Drosophila melanogaster: one gene and its partners. The protein of the gene in region 3 interacts with the protein of the main gene of each other region in a pairwise test. Each region holds a gene or a part of one and is shown on either strand. Other genes may lie near its edges.

What was found.
Region 1: the proteins of shv (region 3) and CG13047 interact in a two-hybrid assay, tested with the Drosophila melanogaster proteins (one large-scale study listed by BioGRID).
Region 2: the proteins of shv (region 3) and CG13066 interact in a two-hybrid assay, tested with the Drosophila melanogaster proteins (one large-scale study listed by BioGRID).
Region 4: the proteins of shv (region 3) and CG10494 interact in a two-hybrid assay, tested with the Drosophila melanogaster proteins (one large-scale study listed by BioGRID).

What each region holds. Positions count from the first base shown.
Region 1 is NT_037436.4:16,283,191-16,288,446, reverse strand, and holds CG13047 (uncharacterized protein), read left to right. Parts: upstream 1-3,050; 5' UTR 3,051-3,091; coding exon 3,092-3,103; intron 3,104-3,181; coding exon 3,182-3,682; 3' UTR 3,683-3,767; downstream 3,768-5,256. Other genes in the region: CG13046 (uncharacterized protein), read left to right, coding at 125-136, 199-732; CG13048 (uncharacterized protein), read left to right, coding at 4,790-4,807, 4,867-5,256.
Region 2 is NT_037436.4:16,270,123-16,275,389, forward strand, and holds CG13066 (uncharacterized protein), read left to right. Parts: upstream 1-2,786; 5' UTR 2,787-2,844; coding exon 2,845-2,856; intron 2,857-3,055; coding exon 3,056-3,325; 3' UTR 3,326-3,486; downstream 3,487-5,267. Other genes in the region: CG34248 (uncharacterized protein), read right to left, coding at 380-676; CG13067 (uncharacterized protein), read left to right, coding at 1,218-1,229, 1,303-1,530.
Region 3 is NT_033779.5:450,510-456,248, forward strand, and holds shv (shriveled), read left to right. Parts: upstream 1-2,598; 5' UTR 2,599-2,752; coding exon 2,753-3,761; intron 3,762-3,820; coding exon 3,821-3,876; 3' UTR 3,877-4,145; downstream 4,146-5,739. Other genes in the region: crq (croquemort), read right to left, coding at 1-31, 157-285; CG4133 (uncharacterized protein), read left to right, coding at 5,292-5,318, 5,577-5,714. UniProt on the Drosophila melanogaster protein: Maintains stem cell niche architecture in the testes.
Region 4 is NT_033778.4:21,515,544-21,521,835, forward strand, and holds CG10494 (uncharacterized protein), read right to left. Parts: upstream 3,583-6,292; 5' UTR 3,463-3,582; coding exon 3,387-3,462; exon of another isoform or gene 3,383-3,386; intron 3,328-3,382; coding exon 2,914-3,327; intron 2,855-2,913; coding exon 2,438-2,854; intron 2,379-2,437; coding exon 1,714-2,378; 3' UTR 1,612-1,713; downstream 1-1,611. Other genes in the region: MESK2 (misexpression suppressor of KSR 2), read left to right, coding at 345-790; CG30288 (uncharacterized protein), read right to left, coding at 3,792-4,204, 4,272-4,438, 4,496-4,538, 4,601-4,826; CG30289 (uncharacterized protein), read right to left, coding at 5,068-5,576, 5,635-5,859, 6,074-6,290.

The DNA of each region.
Region 1 (5,256 bases), on a different chromosome or scaffold from region 3:
ACAAATTTTAATCAGCTGCCAAAGCTGCGCCAGCGCACATCAACGATTATAAGATTCGGCAAAAATATTGGCCTTTAAACTGCATTTACCCCAAGAACTGGAACCCAAAGAAAAGTGAAGTGAAATGGCGCCCAATGTGAGAGCAATATCTAGTGTGTGAAGAGCTATCAAGGTTTAACCCTATCAAATCACTTTCAGTTGACTTGTGTATGGATTACTCTGCTGCAACTCATGAGCTTGGCTCTGGCCGATGTCTCACACCTGGATTACTCGATAGCACCCAGCACCCAGCTGGGTTACTATCACTATCCCGCTCCCAACAGGCCAGCCGTGCAGCGGAGCCAGAGGAACCAGTACCAACAGAACCAGCAGTATCCCCAAGTGGCACGACAGTTTGCCGAGCCCGCCTTGGAGCATGCCGCCTTCACCCAGGCTCTGACCAGCCAGGGTTACGTATTTGGAGCACCGTCGTCTGCCCTCCAGGTGGCTCCCCCGGCACCACAGCCCCAGCAGGTGGCCAGAGTATCATCTGCTGCGGGATCGGCCACAGGTCGTTCCATATCCTCCGCTTCCGTGGATGCCAACTCGCTGAATCTCAAGCTGCCAGTGCCCTTTGGCATTGCTCCACTGAATGTGGCGCAACTTCCGCTGCAGGCTGGGGCACCATATGCCAGTGTGCCCAGAACCACGGGGCTAACCTCCTATGGAACACCGCAGATCCAGAGGCGCTAGTCCAGCAATCCTAGCCCATAGAATAGCAATAGCAATACATTTAATAGAGCCAGAGCCATCCCGACTGATCATCAAACTGCGATGACTTCTGCTCTTAGTGAATACACATTGATAATAAACTTGCCATCTAAGCTTAGCCTTTCGGTTGAGTCTCTTTTTATTGGCCATTTTTAGTCTCATTGCCATCGATGGAGACTGCATTTGCATAATGTTTTGAAGGTTAATACGCGGGCACACACAAAAAAAAAAGAGGTCTTCGTCCATTGGATTTACACCTTTCACTCTCCTACGATGGGTTAATGGTTGCTATTTACATACACACAAATCGGGCCAAGAGATCTCCATCTCCATCCGCGCCTCATAATGAGACCTCAAACTTGGCATTGGCATTCGGAATTCTCTTGTGAAAACAAAAGAAATCGAGACAACGACTAACTTTTGACGTATATTTATGAAAGCCAATTAAAGTCAAGTGTCATTGATCAGATCTGGGAACGGAACTGGGAACTGGGATCTGGATCTATCTATATATCTAGACATATTTATGCCTGCCGTATAGAACCTGCTTCCCGCGAAAACAAAAACGGGAATTAGAAATATGGTCTGCATAAATTTGGGGCTTAAAAATCAATTAAAGCAAACGGTACTGACGACAGCCAAACAATTCCTAAGAGGGATAAAGCTTCTGATGAGCCTCTAAATCAGATTGCAAATAAATTTAAAAGGTTAACTAGGAAGTGAGCGGATCGCACAGCTGTGAAGTGGAGTGCTGAAGACAAGAAGTTGATGGCGATGGTCTATGAAGATGAAGATGAAGATGGTTAAAGATGTACTCATTTCCGTGCTTGAGTCACCGGAAAATTGGCGCGTCATCGGTTGAGAATTCCTGTCCAGAAATTGTGAACAAGTGAACGAGAAGAGGTCACCCTTGGAGTTGGAATGTACTAGCTGTGGTTGCTGCCAAGATTGGATCAATCCGATCAAAAGTGGCCACAATGCGGATACAGAATACAGAATATATGGAAAAGTATACAGTTACATGCGTGGGGCAACTTGATCACCAGATATCATTTATATACATATATATATATCGCCCTCTCGACTCGTCATCGCGACAACCTTGAGACCGGCGTCATCATCGTATCGGATTTCAGAAGCAGCTATAAAATAACGACCATTTAGATACTCTATACGATTTGTTAGTAAGCGGTATGAGTATAATATTTTGTGACTGTACTACAGAAAAACTTCGATTTTTCATAAACTCGCTCTTTGAAATCATGCTCCTAATGGGTTGTTCTACCAAGTCATTGACACTAAAATATGCTAATTTACAAACATTCATAAGTAGCAAAAGTACCCGATCATAAAGAGTAAAACAATGCAAATCGCAGACACCAAGCCATCAGATGACGACGATGCTGCTGACCAGGCCAGCACGTGACCGAGAGAGACCGAGAGAGATGGCTCATTAAGTCAGCTAGCAAGCAGGTTTCGACTGCTCGATCATTCGGCCCCGCGCCTTGTTGGCCAATTAAGCTGAAGCGAATTGATGAGACCCACTGGATGAGGATGAGGGTGCATCACATCCTGTGGCCAGGTGGCGTCAAGGTCAGGTCAACACGAAAACAAATGAAGACCCGTCGGCTAGGATGAGAGGGAAATTTACGACCGCCTTTTATTGGCGTCTCTGCAAGCCATTAAAAAGTGAACTAATGAGACACTTAGTGGGCCGGAATCGTGGCCTTTGAGGAAGGGGTACCATTTTTATGGCCAATTTGACTTAGATTGCGGCCAATTCAATGCGAAGCGGCGCACATTGATGGCCCAAACAGACTGCAAATTACGACAAGACAGCCCGGCCACCGAGTCAGTCTTCAATTGCATACAAATGTCGATCACTGCACTTGGAAAAATTTTTATAAAGACTATAACTTGGTATGCTATACAAAAAGTTTACCTCTGCATGTAAATACACTGCACTAAATAGTTAAGGTTAAAAATTTTAAATAAAATATTTATACATTGAAATCAGAATTATATCATATCTTTTCTTATAATATTTACCAAAGCTCAAATATTTTTCCAAGTGCAACCGAAATATTCAAGCGACAACTTGGACAACTTCCGACAGTCCATTGGGCAATTGAAGGCGGAGCACGTCTTGGCCAAATGGCGATCATGTATGCTACTTGGCACTCGACCAGGTGGGCCAGCTAATGAAGAAGCGACCAAAAATCGGCTCAGACAGAATGTCCCCCAAAGAGCACGGATATGGGCACGAGCTATATAAGCCACTGGTCTGGCTCCAAATGAACATTATCGCTCAAGTGCTTTAGACAAACCCAACCACAGCAATATGTACAAGTTTGTAAGTGATCCTATGGGGATTAGCGCCCAAACAATGTGGACTAAGAGGTGGTTAATGATTACCTATCCTATTTTCCAGTTGGTTCTCGCTGCCCTCATCGCCTGCTCTGCGGCCAAACCAGGAGTTGTAGCTCCACTGGCTGCTCCTCTGGCTGCTCCCCTGGCCTACGCTAATGCTCCTCTGTACGCCGCAGGTGGCAGCAGCCAGGTGGATGTCCGCAACAACTACGACGGCACCCTGTCCTCCTACACCACCGCTCCGTTCGAGTTCGCCGGCCCCTACTCCAGCCGCTATGTGTCCGGAATCCCAGCTGCCCCCGCCGTGGTGGCCAAGTACGCTGCTGCTCCTCTGGCCGCCGCCTACTCTGCTCCTCTGGCTGCTCCCGTCGCTGCTCCTCTGGCCGCTGCTCCCGTTGCTGCTCCTCTGGCCGCTGCTCCCTATGCCGCCGCTGCCTACTCCGCCTATCCCTATGCCTCGCCCTACGCTGCACCCTACCTGGCATCTCCCTACGCCGCTCCCTACGCTGCATCCTATGCTGCTCCCATCGCCGCTGCTGCTCCAGCTCCAGTGGTGGTCTAAGGACACACCTGTGAAGCAGGCCAAACTATAGGAAATTTTTGATAAACAAAAAAAAAAACTGATAATAAATTACGAACCAACAATTAGAGCGCACCATCTTATTATTTGCAGAAATGCCTTGAATAATTAACGAAAAACGAAAGTACTATTATTTATCGGATATTTTTGGTTCATGAAAATTCAATTGGACGCTCATTTCGATTGGGTCAATATATATATATTTCTTAAGAAAATATAAAATAACTTCTTTACTTAACTATGATCAATTTTTGATTAGATGATTCCTTTTGTGCAAGTGGTTTTATTAAGCATCCATATATTTCCAGATTTCAGATAGAGGAAGTTATTTAATTTTTTTTTAGAAACTTTAGAACTTTCCATTTAATGCTCTGAATTTCTCGTTTCTCACTCATTTCTTTGATATGCAAAATAAGCTTGTTTATTGGTGGATATCATTTAATACAAATTATGCATAAATTATAGGTCTGCATTTAATTTTTAATGGAATTTTTTCTAACAGCTGCATTGAATTTTAAAGATAATATTGACAAAGTAGCAACATACATAAGTTAGGGACTTAGGGAAGTTAAAGTCAGACAACTTGGTCACCATGTAAACAATATTTGTTGTGATTGCGTTGTCACCTAAGGCGCAATATCGATTGTTATTTATGGTCAAAGCAATATTTATGGATTATCATAATCATATTCCACTCATGGGCAACTGTCAATGCCTGGGCTTGGTTGGCCCCATGTTATATAATCATGGGCCGTGCTTTCGAATCGCCCAAGAAGTTATTGGCCCCTCGATCGAAGGCAGTGCCATTCGCAGTCGCCGTCTCAGTCACGACTTGCTGACCAACTAAATGGGATTGGGTTGCCTCCCTCCAAATGATGCAACCCATTAAGTTAGGTGAGTGGGCCAAGTCGTCGTCGAAAGTGAAGAAATGCAAGTGCAAGTCTTTTGATTGCGTACCGCCTTCAATTCGCTATAAATATTAATTTAATTTGACAATGCAAAGACATTAGCAGCCGAACCAACAGGTCGAGCACATCGATCGAGAAGCTACTGCCCCAAAGAAACCGAACTTCAAATCCCCCAAGCAAGATGTGGCAACTGACATGGGTAAGGACTGCAAAGTTCTTTTGACCAAAGATATTAATAGGTAACCTAAATATTTTTAGGCCTTTGCATTGGCTTTCCTGCTGGTGGGTGGTGAGGCAAAGCCCTCTCATCTTCACTACAATCACTTCGATCCCCACCATGTCAACCACTTTGACGGACATCATCTGAGCCACTTGGATTCTCTGCATGCTCTGCCGCACCACTTGGATTACGCGGTGCAGGAATCGGTCCTTCCTCCGCCAGCTCCTTTGCTTCCTGCGGTGGCTCCACCACCAGCATTTGCTCCACCACAACCTGTATTTGCTCCAGCGCCTCTCTTACCTGCTCTTGCACCATTTTTACCGGCTCCTGCTCCTCTTCTGCCCGCTCCTGCACCACTTCTACCAGCACCTGCACCACTTCTACCAGCTCCAGCTTTTCTGCCAGCTCCTACTCCTCTTTTGCCCGAG
Region 2 (5,267 bases), on a different chromosome or scaffold from region 3:
ACTGTCACCTTTTCTAAACCTTTTGTTCTGGCAGCGTCTGTTCTGCCCACTTAAAATGCGGAAATGTAGCCCGAAAAAATACCAATTCAGTTGCGTCATCATCCATTGACAAATCACAGATGGCAAAAGTGATAGATTTCTCGAAATGTATAGGTAACCGGCATCTCTGGTAGGAGAATCACGTGTTGGCCATTTAAAAATTGCCGACTGAAAGTTGCGTCAACCCGAATAAATAATTATGCATGTGCGTGTCTAAAAATATATTTCTGGCTTAAAGCGGGCAATAACGAGTAAAATAGCAACCATAACAGGGAAAGGATTCAACAGGAGGGACAACAGTGTCCTTTGACCACCTTATGGCCAGTGGGAGGACGCTCCCCTAGGCAGCCACTATGTGGACGGGAATGGAGTTGCTGTAGCGTCCGAATGGCAGCCACGCAGCTGGGTAGAACAAAGGATAGCTCGGCGGCGGTGCAGAGCCCACAAGTGGTGGTGGCCCCAGTGGTGGTGGGGGAACAGCAGCTCCAGCTGCCTGGCGGGGCGGTGGTGGAGCAGCCCGATGGGCAGGCGGCACATCGATCTCCTCGGCAGCATCCTGGATCTGACCCGCGGCCGCCAGGTGGATCAGAAGGAGGAGCACCACCTGAAATGGCCACCGATGGCGAGGCCTCATCATCTTTGAGCAAGTGCATCGACTTCTCGGCGGATAACCGCTTGAGACTTACTAATTTCCTGTACATAGCTAATCCGAGCTGATAAGATCTGATAGCTCAACGTTCTGAAAACGAAATAAACATGACTGGAGCGACAGAACCCAGCTTTATAAATTTCTGAACCCAACCCGGCAGTTTTTGTGGGTCATTTCCAGACTTGCCGATGGATGGATCAATATCCAGCTACGTTTTAGTATGCAAAACACGGACTCACATTCGATTTGTTTTTCGCTTTTCGTCACGCTTTTAAAAATACCAAACGAAACCAAAAGTGCAAAGCCATAATGCTCAAGATTCTCCTTGGCTGGCTTCAAAATGGACTTGGAACCGATCTGGGAATGGATGTGCATACCAATGGCCACGCATCACCTTCGCTTCAATGTGGGGAATTGGAATGGAATTTTCTCGACCGATTCTGCTATATATACCCGAGTACTCGGGCACTAGGAGATATCAGTCTAGTACTTGAGAACCAACAGTTCACAACCAACCCAAACAGCCAACATGTTCAAATACGTAAGGATCGCAGGATAGCTGGACTTGCCACCAAACAACGGATTACTCATAAGCACTTTTCCTATCCTTTCAGTTCGCTCTGTGCCTGTTCGCCATCGTGGCCTGCGTCTCTGCCAAGCCGGCGGTGCTCGCTTCTCCTCTGGCCTACAGCGCCTACTCCGCTCCCTATGTGGCAGCTGCTCCTTACTCGGCTGCCTACACCGCGGCATACACCGCTCCAGTGGCCGCCGCCTACTCCGCCTACACGTACCCCTATGCGTCCGCCTACTCCGCCTACCCCTATGCCGCCTACTACCGTTAAGACTGGATGAATGGATCGTGATCTTAACCTGACTGCTGAACTGGACCTGAATATAAACATATACACATCTATTGCAACAAGGATACACACCTTCCTGCTAACCACCTGCAACATCCAATCTTCTTACATCCCTGGTGTTAGTTCGACAGACTCTACATTTCCCCACCTCTGCCGACTGCTGAAAGTTAAGTCATGGGAACAGGACATACCACTTCAAGAAAGGGAATATTTTTGTTGAAATAAATACTGCATTTTGCGTAAAACGTATACCACTTGTTCATAATTTATTGCATCACTTATTCATCTCTAATGTGAAGGGAGTATGTATAATCACATACTTTTAGGCAGTACTCTTTTGCAATGGGTACTAAGTACTAAATTTGGTATACATTAAAATCCAATGGAAATATTATTTATAAAGTAGGTGATATCATATTTTCAGTAAATATTTCTCACACTAGTTTCATAAATTGCTAGCCCCTACATTTTTTAATTTTGGTGGGCTGGAAGGAATCAATGACTTTTTTAAGCTTTGTATCAATAAATTGCTTTGATACATTGGAAATTATTTTTTGGACTTAAAACCTATTATTTGTTAAAAAAAAAGGAAGTGTAAAGGAGGTTGTGTTCTTCGTGGTGGAATGTCCATGTTTGCATTGGATTAATAGGGTCAACGAGACCTCCGGTTTATTGAACTCGCGATTCCATTTATGCAAAGCTTTCGATTCCCTGTTTCTGGTGTCCTCAACCTTAAGCCAAGGGCTCAACTCGATGACGTCCTTCGAAACTGGATAAACCGCTTCTATTTTTACTTGCATCTCTGATTAGAATGCAAAGTGGCGTGTTCGAGTGGCTGACAATTGAAACGTACAGAGTGAGCCGAACTCCGGAGATGGCCAAGACGGTTGGAATGACACGCACGTTCACAGCCCACAAAACGCACTGAGTGCTAAATTATGATAATTCAATCGGCAAACGACAGCTGCTGACGCCAGTTGCGGAAATGCTCAAGATGAGCGGGAAAAAACATTCATTTTCAATAATAAATTCACAAGGAATGCGTACTATTCGCAGGCATATCGACAAACACAAATCTGCAACATTATAATTGTGCCAGTAAAAAGAGACCAAATGTTTGGCCCTGTTTTAGCCCTGGTACGTGATGGAAATGCTTTAAACTTGCTGGGTTTTTGCTTTTTCAATGGGCTTTGTCAAGGATGCTATGTATATTTACCTATATAAACCACTTCGAACTCAGCACAAGACATCAATCAGAAGTCTAACTTCGACGCTAACACAACCAAATCAATTAAAATGATGAAATTCGTAAGTTTCCAACATTTTTTTAAGGATACAATGTTTCAAAAATGCAACAATTCACAATCCTAAATACAAACAAAAACGCGTGTGTTCGAAATAAAACTATTATCAAACAGTGTAGATTTTTCAAACAATTTTTTATATTTATAAAACTTCTTGTAAATGTGTATTTTAATGTACTTTTTGTATGCATTTTATCCTGCAGTTTGCCGTTGTCCTGTGCGCCCTGTTCGCCGCCGCTGCTGCCAATCCTGGTCTGCTGGCCTACAATGCCCCTCTGGCCTACTCCACTCCACTGGCGTACAGCTCCCTGCCCGCTGCCGCACCCCTCGCCTACACCGCCGCCTACACCCCTGCCTACGCCCCCTACGTGGCCCCCTATGCCAGTAGCTACAGTGCCCACAGTGTGGCCCACAGCGCCGCCCTGCCAGCCGTTTATGCCGCCGCCCCTGTGGCCACCATCCTCAAGAAGTAAGATGTCCCAGGATGGCAAAGGGATTCCGCAAGGCTGCCGCACGTGTCCACCGGACGTCGTCACTGCCACGGCGAAAGATACAGATACAAACAGAGATGGAGATACATGCTCGCAGGCAAACAGAAATTAAAACGCAATGCATCAGGCCCACGCACTGACCGACTGAGAAGTGAATCGAGTTTTATTCCTTCCGTTTAATTTTAATCTTGCCGTGGGCATCGGGACTTTTCTTCAAAGGAAACAGATAGTGCAGGTTGCTCTTGGGAAGCGCCGTCTTATTGCAATAGATACCTGGATGGGAAGTATATATATATAGCTTTAGTTTGTGGTATTACATAGAATTATAAGTTCAAGATAAGGGATTTCATTTGAATTATTAACGAGTGCTGCAAGCTTTAATTTTTAACATTTGCAATGGTCACCAGAGCACTTTAAACTATTATATGATGAGAAGAATGAATTCGTTTAAGGTTAAATCAGGCCACCATTTTCATTAGACAGCTCCCATATGACAGAGTGCCCTCCAAGGGTGTGCCCAACTCTGGCCTGTTTGTGCGCCCACTTTGGTTCATCGACACTTCGCCACGTTCCAGGACGCAATCCTTGAGCTTTGTTTACGCAGTTCGCACCCCCTTAGCCCTGATACCCCCCTGACCCTTCGAGGTCTATGTGGCCAGCTCGCGGCACATTGTTTATCACTTTGATTGCAAGTTGCGTGTGTGTTGGCTTAGAGGTCAATGCATTTCCATCGCCACTGCGAATATGGTACTACATTGAGGGGCGCCGCTTAAATTGCATTTTGCTAATCACCCGCCATCGATAAGTTGAACGAAGCCACGCCTCAAACGAACCCACCACGCCAACTCTGGCATTAATCATACGCCGCGTGCAACCGTCGAAAAGTATGAAAATCAAATCAAGCGAACGACATTTAACTAAGAAACAACATTTTGCAAATTAATTCAAGTCTTTGAGTTGCTGATTCTCAATTCTCCTCGATGCTTTCAACGCTTTTTATAGCCCTGTAAAAGCTGAAAAACGCCTCATTCTGCACGTGCAGTTGCACTTCTTGCAGCTAATTTACTTGTTTTGTGGCTGTAGTCGGAAAATTAAATTAAAATTTAACGCTGCCTTTTGTCTCGATGGTCACGCCCCATTAATCAGCTGCCCCCTCGCGAAACATGCGGCGATTTATAATTGCCGAAGCCCCAGAAGTTGCACTTAAACGTTCCGTTTCCCAGGCTTTACTGGAGTGGGTACTCTATGAAAGAGTTTGGGGGTGGGGTGTGTAAGCTTAAATTAACATAAGTTAAATATTGTCAAATAGTCTAATTTAATGCTTAAATGTTGTACTTTAGGTAAGTGTGTTTATAAAATTAGTTTCAAATGCTCTCTTGTCGTAGTATTCAGTTAAGGTAAGTCTATACCGTGTCTGAATTGAGGATATCAAAATATTTGTTTTCTAACTTTATAAGTAAGTATAAATATATATGGTTTTTGGATGCAACTCAGTTCTTAATGTATAGCTGTATCGTATCTCTATGTAATCTAGCTAATACTGGACGCTCTTTTCAAATTGAATATGATATCCAACCTACCTCCAATTAGCAGTACGCGTATTAACTTGGCCAACAAGGGGACTTCTAGGCCCATGTGCTATAATTACCCCCCGCTGTTCGGTGACTGCTTAGGCGATTACAACAATCTTGTCTAATTGACAGTTGTACACTGTCATTCGAGAGCATTGGAACGATAATGGGGGGGCTGCGTCGATTAGAACTTGCTGCGATCAATTTGCGGAGACATCAATAAGAAGCCAAACCCGATTTAAAGGCGCTCGCATTTCAGCCGTGCTGCCCAATAAATTGCGTTTTGATTTAATCGCCGTGTTGCACAAGTGCCACAAAATTAATTGCCAGCAATTTTTCGCACCGTGTAGATA
Region 3 (5,739 bases):
AGGCATCAGTCCCGGGCTTGAGGGTAAGGCCCTGGGTAAAGATTAAGTTCATTTTAGTATGTCGAAATGAAAATCTTTTTTTTTTTTAGTTATCGTTCGGTAAACATATTTCCCTGAACCTGTAATACGCAATCTCGGACGGCTAAATATACTTACATCCTCTACAAGGTTATCTGCAATACCCGGCCAGAAGACCACGATTAGTATTCCCAGCAAAAGGAAAACCGATCCCAAGCCGAAGACCCAGACCTTTCGTTGAGTTTCCCCGCAGCACTTGCAGCACATGGTGGATACGTAGGATTCCAAAGGTTCACGCTTTTAAGGAATAGCCAAGGTGGGAATAATCCAGCCCTAGGCAGTTAGTTGCATCTGGAAGTGAAGACAGTTTGTGGGGTTATTTTTCCTTGTATAATCAATGTCCATAATCCGTATCGAATTTTTATTAGTTTATTTCCCGGTACACCCATCCTGGCACCCTGCAGAGTTGGTAATTTTGAAAATAATAAGACCAAGGCTTATCGCCGGCTGGTCCCTGCTTAAGTATTCGATAAGCATCGGCGATTATAAGTGTATATTTTTGAATATATTTTGCAGTCCATGACAGTTGGAGAAGATTACGTGGGACAGCCCACTTATCCGCACAGTCAACTTCAAGTGCAGACATCCGCAGATCTATTCAGTTTTCTAGCACTTGCCACTGTTTAGGTCGCCTAAACTTACTAGTTTTCAATCAAAGGGGATCGAAAATATTCCGGCCTTAGCACAATCGGAACTATCAAAACCGTACGCGTCCCCTGGCAGGGCGAAACTGGTGGCCAGCGGTCTACTGTGTGTCTTTTAATGGGTTCACTTGACGTTCAATTACCACTCGGTTCGTTTATTAATCTCTGGACTTTGCTAGTCGGGAATATTTGCTTGATTGGCATTAACTTGGATGCGTTTGGAGAAACACAAAAAAGAGATCACTCTACTCGAATTCCTCGACTTTCAGTTACTCGTAACTCAGGTAGCTGGCTGCCACAAAATTTTAATATTTTGGTATTCAGAGTGGGTATGTTGCAAATATTTGTAGCATAGCGATAGAAATGAAAATCTTATCTTTCTAACATTTATAGTTCGCGAGATCAAAGCGTTCATGCGAAGGCGGATGGCTAGATCGACTCGGGTGGTTATTCTGATCGAGTGAGTAGGTTTTATGGCAGATTGATTTACAATAGTTAAAATTCCTTTTAATATTATAAACATTTATAATTATGGTAATTTCATGCCTAGATGTTATTTATGTCCATGCTTGTCTGCAATTCAAATTCATTCAAGTCTAAGATAGTGTTTAGTATCGTTATCTGGGTAATACCCGCATTTCTCGGCTATTTGCTTCTGTGGTTGGTTGGTCAAGATGTTCTCACAAGGGGTTCCTATTTATGGCACTGATAAGATTAGCTTTGTGGAGATACTGATAATTCGGTCGAAATATGCTTTACTATACCATATCAGCCTTGATCCGTCCTGTAATCCAAAGTTCTTTTAATGCAATAGGAACGGGGCCTGTTTTTATCGTAAGTCTGGTGCATATCGTATTGCAATTTCGATTCCCTGCTTTGTTTCCTCCCGTCGACTGACTCAGTCTTGTTTTTGTCGGATTATTGGGCTGGCTCTATACTACAATGAATATTTCTTTGTTTAACGACTGATAACAGGCAAAAAAGGGGGTCTGGAACTACAGTAGAGCCTTTTGAGCTTGTACGAGTCCCAGTAGGATAACTCGAGAATTCATGTTAACTGTTTAAGGCGAATTAATATTAATAATAATTGATTAATATTAAATGGTTTTTAAAATAGTTTGTTGTAAACTGCATTGTGTATGCACTATATATGTTTACTGCATGTTGTCTCTCTTTTGAGGGCGATAGCTTGCATCCCGTGAAATGTTTGCTTTCTGGTTGAACTTAAACCTCGATCAACTTGCGCTTAAAGTGTTGACATCACCAGTTGCGAATTAGGCGTACAGTTATATTCACGTATTATTGCACATTACCGGCTGCATAATTAAAGTGATGAATTACTCACCTTTTATCTCACACACAACTACGTCTTTTAGCATTAGCTTCTGATGGCTCTGTTATTGTTTTGCTTTGGCCTTGACATTTATTATGCCATAGTTCGGAGTAAATTTATTTTTCTGGGACTTCCCGCTTCGATGATCGCTTAGTCCCTTTACCTTTGGTGCCTGGAATCGCAAAAGTACCGTACGAAAGGGATTCAAATTGTCAGACTTCCCTTCTTATTACTTTTACAGCTAAACTCAAGCGTGGGAAGCGCCTTTGGAATTGATCTGAAAGCTGCTATCCAACTAAAAAAAAGGCACTTTCGCGTTGCCGAAGAGGGCAAGCAGAGAAAGATAAACTGCAAACTTGCAGTTTGCTGGGCTAAATTGGATTAAACAATTTATTTCTTTATCTTCGCTGGGCGAGTGTGACCAGAAGCGTTTATATGCGCTGTAACAGCACTGTAAGCAACGTTGCCACAGTTTTTGGATTGACTGTAATGCGAAACAGCTGTTCTGTTAGAGAAGTGGTGACAACCCTAACGACAGTGCCAACCAATCAGCGCAGACCACGACTCACACACACAAACAAAGCTGCCAGCGGCGACAACTACAATTTTTTTACACTTTTGCCAGCATTTAAAATCGTATTTCGAATCAGCTGGTTAAAAAGAATGAATTGCTGAATCAAACAGGATCAAAAACGAAATGCAGCTTATCAAGTGCTTGGTTATAATTCAGCTGTCCCTCTTGCTGGTGGAGGAGTCATTTGCCGGCCGGGACTTCTACAAAATACTGAACGTAAAGAAAAACGCCAACACGAACGAAGTGAAGAAGGCGTATCGCCGTTTGGCCAAGGAGCTGCATCCGGATAAGAACAAGGACGACCCGGATGCCTCCACAAAGTTCCAGGACCTGGGAGCGGCCTACGAAGTCCTCTCCAATCCGGACAAACGGAAGACCTACGACCGCTGCGGCGAGGAATGCCTCAAGAAGGAGGGCATGATGGATCACGGTGGTGATCCGTTCTCTAGCTTCTTTGGGGACTTCGGCTTTCACTTCGGTGGTGATGGCCAGCAGCAAGATGCTCCGCGAGGCGCCGATATCGTAATGGACTTGTACGTTTCCCTGGAGGAGCTATACTCCGGAAACTTTGTGGAAATTGTGAGGAACAAGCCTGTAACGAAACCCGCCTCAGGCACCAGGAAATGCAACTGCCGCCAGGAGATGGTCACCCGGAACCTTGGACCCGGGCGCTTCCAGATGATCCAACAGACGGTGTGCGACGAGTGTCCCAACGTGAAGCTAGTCAACGAGGAGCGCACATTGGAGATCGAGGTGGAACAGGGCATGGTCGACGGCCAAGAGACGAGGTTCGTGGCCGAGGGGGAGCCACATATCGATGGGGAGCCCGGCGACCTCATTGTGCGGGTTCAACAAATGCCGCATCCGCGATTCCTGCGCAAGAATGATGATCTGTACACGAACGTGACCATCAGTCTGCAGGATGCCCTTGTCGGCTTCTCCATGGAGATCAAGCACCTTGATGGACACCTGGTGCCCGTCACGAGAGAGAAGGTAACGTGGCCCGGCGCTAGAATCCGCAAGAAGGGCGAGGGCATGCCCAACTTTGAGAACAACAACCTCACCGGCAACCTGTACATCACCTTCGATGTGGAGTTCCCCAAGAAGGATCTTACGGAGGAGGACAAGGAAGGTTAGCATATACATTATCACAAGAGTAATTGTTTCATTAATAAACGTTTCTAATTCTAGCGCTCAAGAAAATACTCGACCAATCCTCCATCAATCGCATATACAATGGACTGTGAATACCCATGTTTCATCCCCAATAAAAGTGCTCGCCGGCTGTACTCTAGTTTTTAAATGCCTAACTAACAGGGCGACTTTGATTTGGGAACGCCCCTAATTCAAGAGATGACTTTGTTCAAAAAAGTTGTGCGAAAACAATTTAATTTTAGTTTAGAATTTTGTAAAATAGCAAAAGTGTAATGAGAGGGAACTATTAAGGCGGTTCCTGCCGACAAAAAGGAATTGCAACAAAAACCAACCCCCACAAAATAAAGCGGATTTAAATTATATACAACTTTGCGGAAGCTACTATTTTTGATTTACTGTTTTTAAAAGGGATTTTTTGATTGTCTCAGAAATAATTTAATTTGAAAACTATTATATTAAGACAATCGATAGGCTGCATTATTGCAACCTTGGCTCAGCTGTCGATAACTGGCGCAGGAATCCGCAAGAAGGGCGAGGGCATGCCCAACTTTGAGAACAACAACCTCACCGGCAACCTGTACATCACCTTCGATGTGGAGTTCCCCAAGAAGGATCTTACGGAGGAGGACAAGGAAGGTTAGCATATACATTATCACAAGAGTAATTGTTTCATTAATAAACGTTTCTAATTCTAGCGCTCAAGAAAATACTCGACCAATCCTCCATCAATCGCATATACAATGGACTGTGAATACCCATGTTTCATCCCCAATAAAAGTGCTCGCCGGCTGTACTCTAGTTTTTAAATGCCTAACTAACAGGGCGACTTTGATTTGGGAACGCCCCTAATTCAAGAGATGACTTTGTTCAAAAAAGTTGTGCGAAAACAATTTAATTTTAGTTTAGAATTTTGTAAAATAGCAAAAGTGTAATGAGAGGGAACTATTAAGGCGGTTCCTGCCGACAAAAAGGAATTGCAACAAAAACCAACCCCCACAAAATAAAGCGGATTTAAATTATATACAACTTTGCGGAAGCTACTATTTTTGATTTACTGTTTTTAAAAGGGATTTTTTGATTGTCTCAGAAATAATTTAATTTGAAAACTATTATATTAAGACAATCGATAGGCTGCATTATTGCAACCTTGGCTCAGCTGTCGATAACTGGCGCAGGACAACGTTCTAACGGGAGTAAAACCGAGAGCGAACAATCGGGAGAGCGTTACAGGAAGTAGCGAATTCACATTAGAGAGCGAAGAAATTTGTACCAGTGCGGACGTGGACAAGCTCGATCCAGCTTTATTATTTATTTTATCAGAAAGCAGAACCCACAACCGAAAAAACCAGTCATTGGCAAGGCTAAAAGATATTATTGCCTACCATCCTTTACTTCATACCTCGCATTGGAAAGTGAAGTTGAGTTGGAAAAGGAGAACTAGAAAAAGGATTTCTAGACCGAAAAAACAAGACACCAACAGCACAACGACCATAAATACATAGTATGAATGTCGCCTAAATATCATAATTTCGAGGTGAGTCGCGAGCAACTCCTCCGAGCAGTCTTTTCAGTTCCCGTCCCACGGATTTCGTGTTCCGCGAAGACGCAACTGCCCACCCCTTTCATTCAGTTTTTTCGCTATCGATTTTCTGCGAGGGTCTCCCTTCAACTTTAAGTGACCCAAAAAAGAAAGGGAGGGTGGTTTTAGGTCAGCCGGCAAAGTTGCGTGCTGGGCTACGTTGTATGTTCTGGTTTCATGCCAAATCTAGAGACCCAATTAAAACACTTTCAGATTGCACTGGTCTACTTTCTGCTGCTAATACCATGGCCACCCACGAATGTGATCAGAATCCTCTGCTCGCGAGATAACAGCCGACTGGTGCGCAAAATAGTGCGCTCCAAATGGACTCCCATTCTGGACAAGCATCAGGTAAGTCCACTACATCGGAGTTCCC
Region 4 (6,292 bases), on a different chromosome or scaffold from region 3:
ACCATAATCAATGATGAGATTATTGAATACTACATAGTTATCTTTACAATGGACATAAAGCCTTAACTTCCATTCGAATTTTAAGAGTTAAGAGAGTCAAGCAAATCTAAGAATTTTATTTATTTTAATCGCAGCCTTTTGCAAACGTACAGACATCACCACACGTACATACATTTCAAAAACAGCAGGCAAGCCTTTTAGAAAGTGTATAAAGAAAAACACCCATCAAGAACAAGAACCAACAACTTACATGTTATCAAGTGACATAACGTAAATAACAAAAGCCAAACTACTACTACCTTCCCCCCAAAACAACAACAACTCCACTTATAAAACTGCAACAGCAACGCCGCTGTCCACGCCAGCGAGTTCGCCCTGTGGAACTAAATACCACACCTACTCCTCCATCTTCTTTGCCAACTTCCGGGAGCAGCAGCAGCAGGCGATGGAGGAGCGCGATCGTGAGCGGGAAAGGGAGCGGGATCGCCAGCGGCAGCTGAGCCTTCGCGTTGGCAATCGCCTTCGGGAGACGGCCATCAATTGCACCAGCAGCAACTCCAACACCACCGCCGGCCAGGGGGACAATAATAATGCGGATGGTCGCAGCGTCGACGGGGACGACCAGGATCTGGAGAACGGAAACGGATGTGCCGGCGGCAACGGAACAGGAACCGGTAATGGCAACCGAGCCTACGTGACCACGGACACATCGGGCACGCTTTACTACGGCACCCAGAGCAACAAGATACGCATCACAGAGAACCCACTGCCCGAGCCGGTCAGCTCTTAGATTGTTACTGCAGAGTCCACATAATCTCCAAAAGACACCTTGTTATTGTTGTTACCACACACTGAGAAAAAATAATGCAGCAGCAGCAGCCAAGTCAAGCCAAGCTTTCAGCCGTGCTCCAAGAGACACAAAGCCACAGAAACTCAAAGAATAAAAAATATTATGAAATACAAGCAACTCACACACCGCTAGGAAATGAATGCGAATGCAATAATTAACCACCAAATGAGAACCCATTGATTGATTGATTGATTGATTGGTTGATTGATTGATTGTGTTTCCCTATGGTTTTCGAGATGCGGAGAGATATTTGTAATTTACACTTTGTGCCTGAGCGTAACGTAACGAACATACACGTATATATATCAAGCCAGATCGGTTCAGATCAGCAACAGCAGTTTAGTTTTCTATGCCCAATTGATTACATTGTTTTTTTTTTTGGAGTGCAACACATATTTTATGACGAGCTTGCTTAGTTGTTGTAAACCGAACAATATACAAAATATATACATATGTGTATACAGATGACACAAGCAGAACAAAAACTAAAAACTAACGAGCATTTTCGCTTAATGTTAAAACCTAAAACGAATCCAACTGTTAACTTAATCCCAAAAAATAACAATGTAGCATATCAAATAAAAAACGAAAAATCTCTCAAAATTACGTATATACTTATACAAAACCCTAGATAAATCGTAGACAATTGCGAATTGCGAGTAACTTCAAACCAACATTCTGTTCACAATGAATGAGGAATAAATTCTAGACACAGGACACTGTCACAAAAACAGGATACACACACACACACGATATTGAATATAGAATACATACATATAATATATATAAATAATGACAACTTTTTGCAATAACTTCGAATTCAATTCAATAAAAGTTTTAGAAGCTTGAGTTCTATGTTTCCATTACTTCGGTTGCAGCATTTCGCTGATCCTGCGCAGGGTCTCCTCTCGATCTCGATGCATCAGTTCCGATACTTGTTCCAAAAATTGATGCTGCTGCTCGCGTTGCTGCCGCAAGAAGCTTTCGTTGGTAGTTTTGATCTGCGCAAGCAGCTGCTTTTGACCTTCTATGATTGCAGTGAGTGCTTCAATCGGCGTTGGTTCAGCCTCCATCTCGATGGCGTCCACGTAGTCCTCGCTATCGGCTGCCGCTCTTAGGAGATCGCAGGTGGAGCTGGAGTTGTCGCTGTCACTTTCCAGCGGAACGCTTGGTTTGCCTGGCGGCTTGAGAAAGGAAGGCTTGCTGATGCGAATGAGCCTGCTGATGGCACTTTCTCTGTTCTCCCGCGGCGCCTGAATCAGTTCATCGAAAAGCTCAAAGTGGCGAGGCAGAATGCGTACATTATCTAGCCCGTGCTCCTTGGCCTCTCGATGACGCTTGCAGAGCAGCCTTAGTTTATTGCGCAGCTGGTGTGGCGTGCGTTTGATGTCCTGCTTAGCCAGGATGTTGGAAATGTGCACCAGGGTCTGGAAGTTGCGCTTCCTTGAGCCATCCAAGGCGCGAAAGAAACCATTGTCCCGAATGATGAGTAGAAACGAATCAACCTCTTCGTCTGTCCAAAAGTGCGCTAAGGAACATAGGAATTTAATTAAATATGGAATAGGAACTAGCTATTATAATATCTACCTCCGCTTCTCTGTGATGCATCACCCTCTTCCTCGTCACTGTCATTGAAATCACTATCGCTTGCGCTGCTCAGATGGGCTTCCGCTTCAGCATCTGCGGCCGCCTCCTCTTCGGTGGGATCCAGGACCAGTCGCATCGCCTCAAAATGCTCGAACGTTTTCCCCGTGCCGTTCTTGACCTTGTTGTACAATCGCCGCAGCTGCTGGAACTTGATGCGCAGCTTCTCAGCACCCTTGTGGCAGTTGCGTTTTGCCATCTCCTTGGACAGCAGCTTGAAGACCTTGGCATTGCGCTTTTGCAGCAAAGCTGCTCGCAGTCCAAGTGTGTGGATCAGGTCTAGGAGGAGGTCCACTTCGCCCTCTGCCCACTTGCAGCGGGCGACGATGTTAACTGAAGATCCTGAGGCATCCAAAGCATCTGCGAAGGAAAGTCGCCTAAGTTCGTATTCCAATACATTCCTGCCCGGTGGCACCTACCGTCCCCTTCGGTTTCTGAGATCATGCCGGACTGGTCCTCGTCGGCCTCCATATCGCTGTCACTCTCTAGCGCCTCTTCATCCAGATCAGATACATCTTCTCCCTGCATCAACTCGTGCACCGCCTCAAAGTGCTCGAATGGTTCGCCGCCATTCCGAGCTCTCGCATACTGACGCCGCATCTGATGGAACTTGACTCTCAGATGCTTTGGACTCTTGGGGCAGTTCCGCCGGGCCATTTCTCTGGACACCATACGAAACACCTTTGCATTGCTTCGCGGCCTTCGAAGAGCAGCTTGCAGTTTAAGTTGGTGAATGATTTCCAGAAAGGTCTCCACCTTTGCGCTGGTCCACTTGCAGCGACTCGCTTTCCCAGAACTATTTTCCGACACCGAGTGACTCGCATTTCCCAGATCTGTTACGAAAAGTAAGGATTTGGTAACATCGAACCGGCTGAGGACGCTGCTTACCCACTCATAAGGTGTGCGTATTTCTGCTCCGTTTCGTGCTCGTCCTCATCGTTGCCATTGAAGAGCGAGAACTTGCTCATTTTCAAATGGTTATGCTTAAATCGCGCAATGAAATCAATAAATATATATTTATATTTGATCGGTTTTTTTTTAGCTTGATCAAATCATAACAATAACAAAACTGTCATCGATAGTAGGACGCGTTAAGCTACCTATCGTTATCGGCATCGATGCGGCCGTACCATACATTCTGCTCGAATGTATGTTTCATGTAAGGAATATGTATGTTAAATGTAGAAATAGCCTACAATCTGAAAAAAAAAACCAAAACCAACAAGAAACTATGATATTGATAGCCAAAATATATACGCTAAAACATTATATTGTTATTAAGCAACATATTTTGATCTCATTCAAAGTCGTCTGAATGGTTTTGAATAACATCCAATATCCAGTCCGTAAAGTGTGTGACATTGGTGTAAATTCCCAAGCCACTGCACAACCGAAGTCCTTGGCTAGCGACACCGAACTGGAAGACCCTTCCCTGCCCCTCAAATGTACGAATTGCGCTCAAAGGACCTCCCGAATCGCCTTTGCACGAATCACTGATATAACTGCCGGCACATATATAGGATATATCGAGAGGTCTTCCAGGTCTTTCACAACTCCATTGAGGTAATTGTTGCAGGGTGGCAGTCTGTAGCCTATCTTGCTCTTCTCCATCACTATTTGTACCCCATCCGGTGAAATTGAAGCGTAATATTGAGAGTGGGTTCCCACCCAACGTTTTGCCCAGAATCAAGCAGATTGGTCTGACATAGTCTATGGCGAACTTTAGTTAGTTACATATTTAGTTCCCAAGAAACTTTTGATAGCGAAATGCACTTACTTGAGAATATCACACTCCTTTGCATTCGCAACAGACCAATATCATATCCTGGATTACTATGAACAATTTTCCTATCCACGTCCACATTGTAGGCCCTTGGTGTGCAGACAAAATCATCGCAGTCGAATATGGGATGTCGGGTATCGTATTCGCCCAGGCGCACATTCCTTAAAAAAGGTCATTTTGAGGATCAAATGTGTAGTAATAGTATGGTATGCACTCACATATACATTGGGGAAATGCAATGCTCGGCGGTCAAAACAAATCCTAAATGAACATACAATGATAATTTGAGTATATATTTCTTATTATCAATTCCAAATACTTACGAGCAGTTATAAGTGAACCGCCACACACTGCTTTTCCCGAAATCATTACTCTGACCATCCAGGGATTCGATTCCATGCCAGCATCTCTACCTCCATCGATTCGCGCTCTATAACCATTACTGCTCGTGGTTCCACAGTCGTTTTCCAGTAAGCGTCCGGATTCCGTCCGGATAATCCCAATAAAAAGACAGGCTACTATCACAAGCTGCCGTATAGGTAGACGCATCTTGTTCAGAGACTAAATTCGAATGGCATCGGTTTCTATTTTTATGCTTGTTCTTCGGCAAACGGCAGAGATAAGAAGTGATTTATTCAGAAAAAATACTAATACAATTTTTACAATCGATTTGAATGTGACATCGTTTATTTTCAATTAATGACAAGATTTTTTTTTTTTAATTAAATCTCTTGAACTTTAATATATTTCGAACTTCGATGCGTTGCCCTGCCATTTTGTCGAATATTAATTAATTTTCATATACAATTCTGTTATACATTAGTTCTATATTCCTTATTATGTCTGTTATGTTACAAGTTTGGCCTACGAGCTTGGATAACCAAAAGGTAGTATGACCTGTAGGTTTGAATTGAACCATTTTATTAAATATCCATTCCCTGTGGTACGATACATTGGTGTAAACACCTGCCACATTAGCCGCGCACCTTTCGGATCCGTAGCTGACCAAGCCGTACTGGAAACTCAGAAGCCTGTTGCCATAATGAAATTTCGAGCTCAATGGGCCTCCAGAATCGCCCTTACAGGTGTTACTGGTATGACTGCCAGCACATATCTGCGATCGATCAGCCTGTTTGTTGAACTTAATGTTACAGTATGATATATCCATGTTATATAGAGTGGCATTCAGTAGGATCCGACTGAATTGACCATATTCTGTTTCACCCCAGCCGGTAACCGTAAACATTGGAATGCTTTGCATTTGCTCGCCGACAAGAAGGCAAATTGGCCTAACATAATCTATAACGAAAAACATAAAGCTTTAGTCATCCACGTGAGATAAAACCCCTCTATTTACCTGAGTACTCCACAGCTTCGGACATACGAAGCAATGCTATATCATTCTGGAGAGTGATGCCATTATAATTTTCGTGAACAATTTTCATATCCACACTAATGTTGTAGAACTTTGGTATACAGTGATTGTTAAGGCAGTATGGCATGGGATCTAGTGTTTCGTAATCACCCAAGCGCACATACAGATCTTCAAAGGATACGCAGTGCGCTGCTGTCAGGACGAATTCTTAAAAGAAAAATAAATAAATAATAAAAAAATAATAAAATAGTCGACTATCTCGATTATTTATTCATATGCTTTTCAGTTTTTGGGTACATGTAAGTTAAGATATATATATCGTGGACTATGAACTATATTATAAATCTAAATAAATATAAATATATTAATATATTAGTATAGAGTAAATAAAGAATAACCAATGTTTTAGTCAAATACATACGCCGTGCAATAAGAGAGCCGCCGCAGGGCTTACTCGACCAAACCAACACCATCCAAGGATTTTCTTGAATATTTGTTTTGGCTCCTCCAAAAATGTTCGGAACGTATGGATCGTCCTTTGATATTCCACAATTCTCAACCAGCAGGCGCGACATTACGTTATTGTTGGCAATAAATAGGCATACGAGTGCCGCGATTACCGCATTGATCACTTCCATGG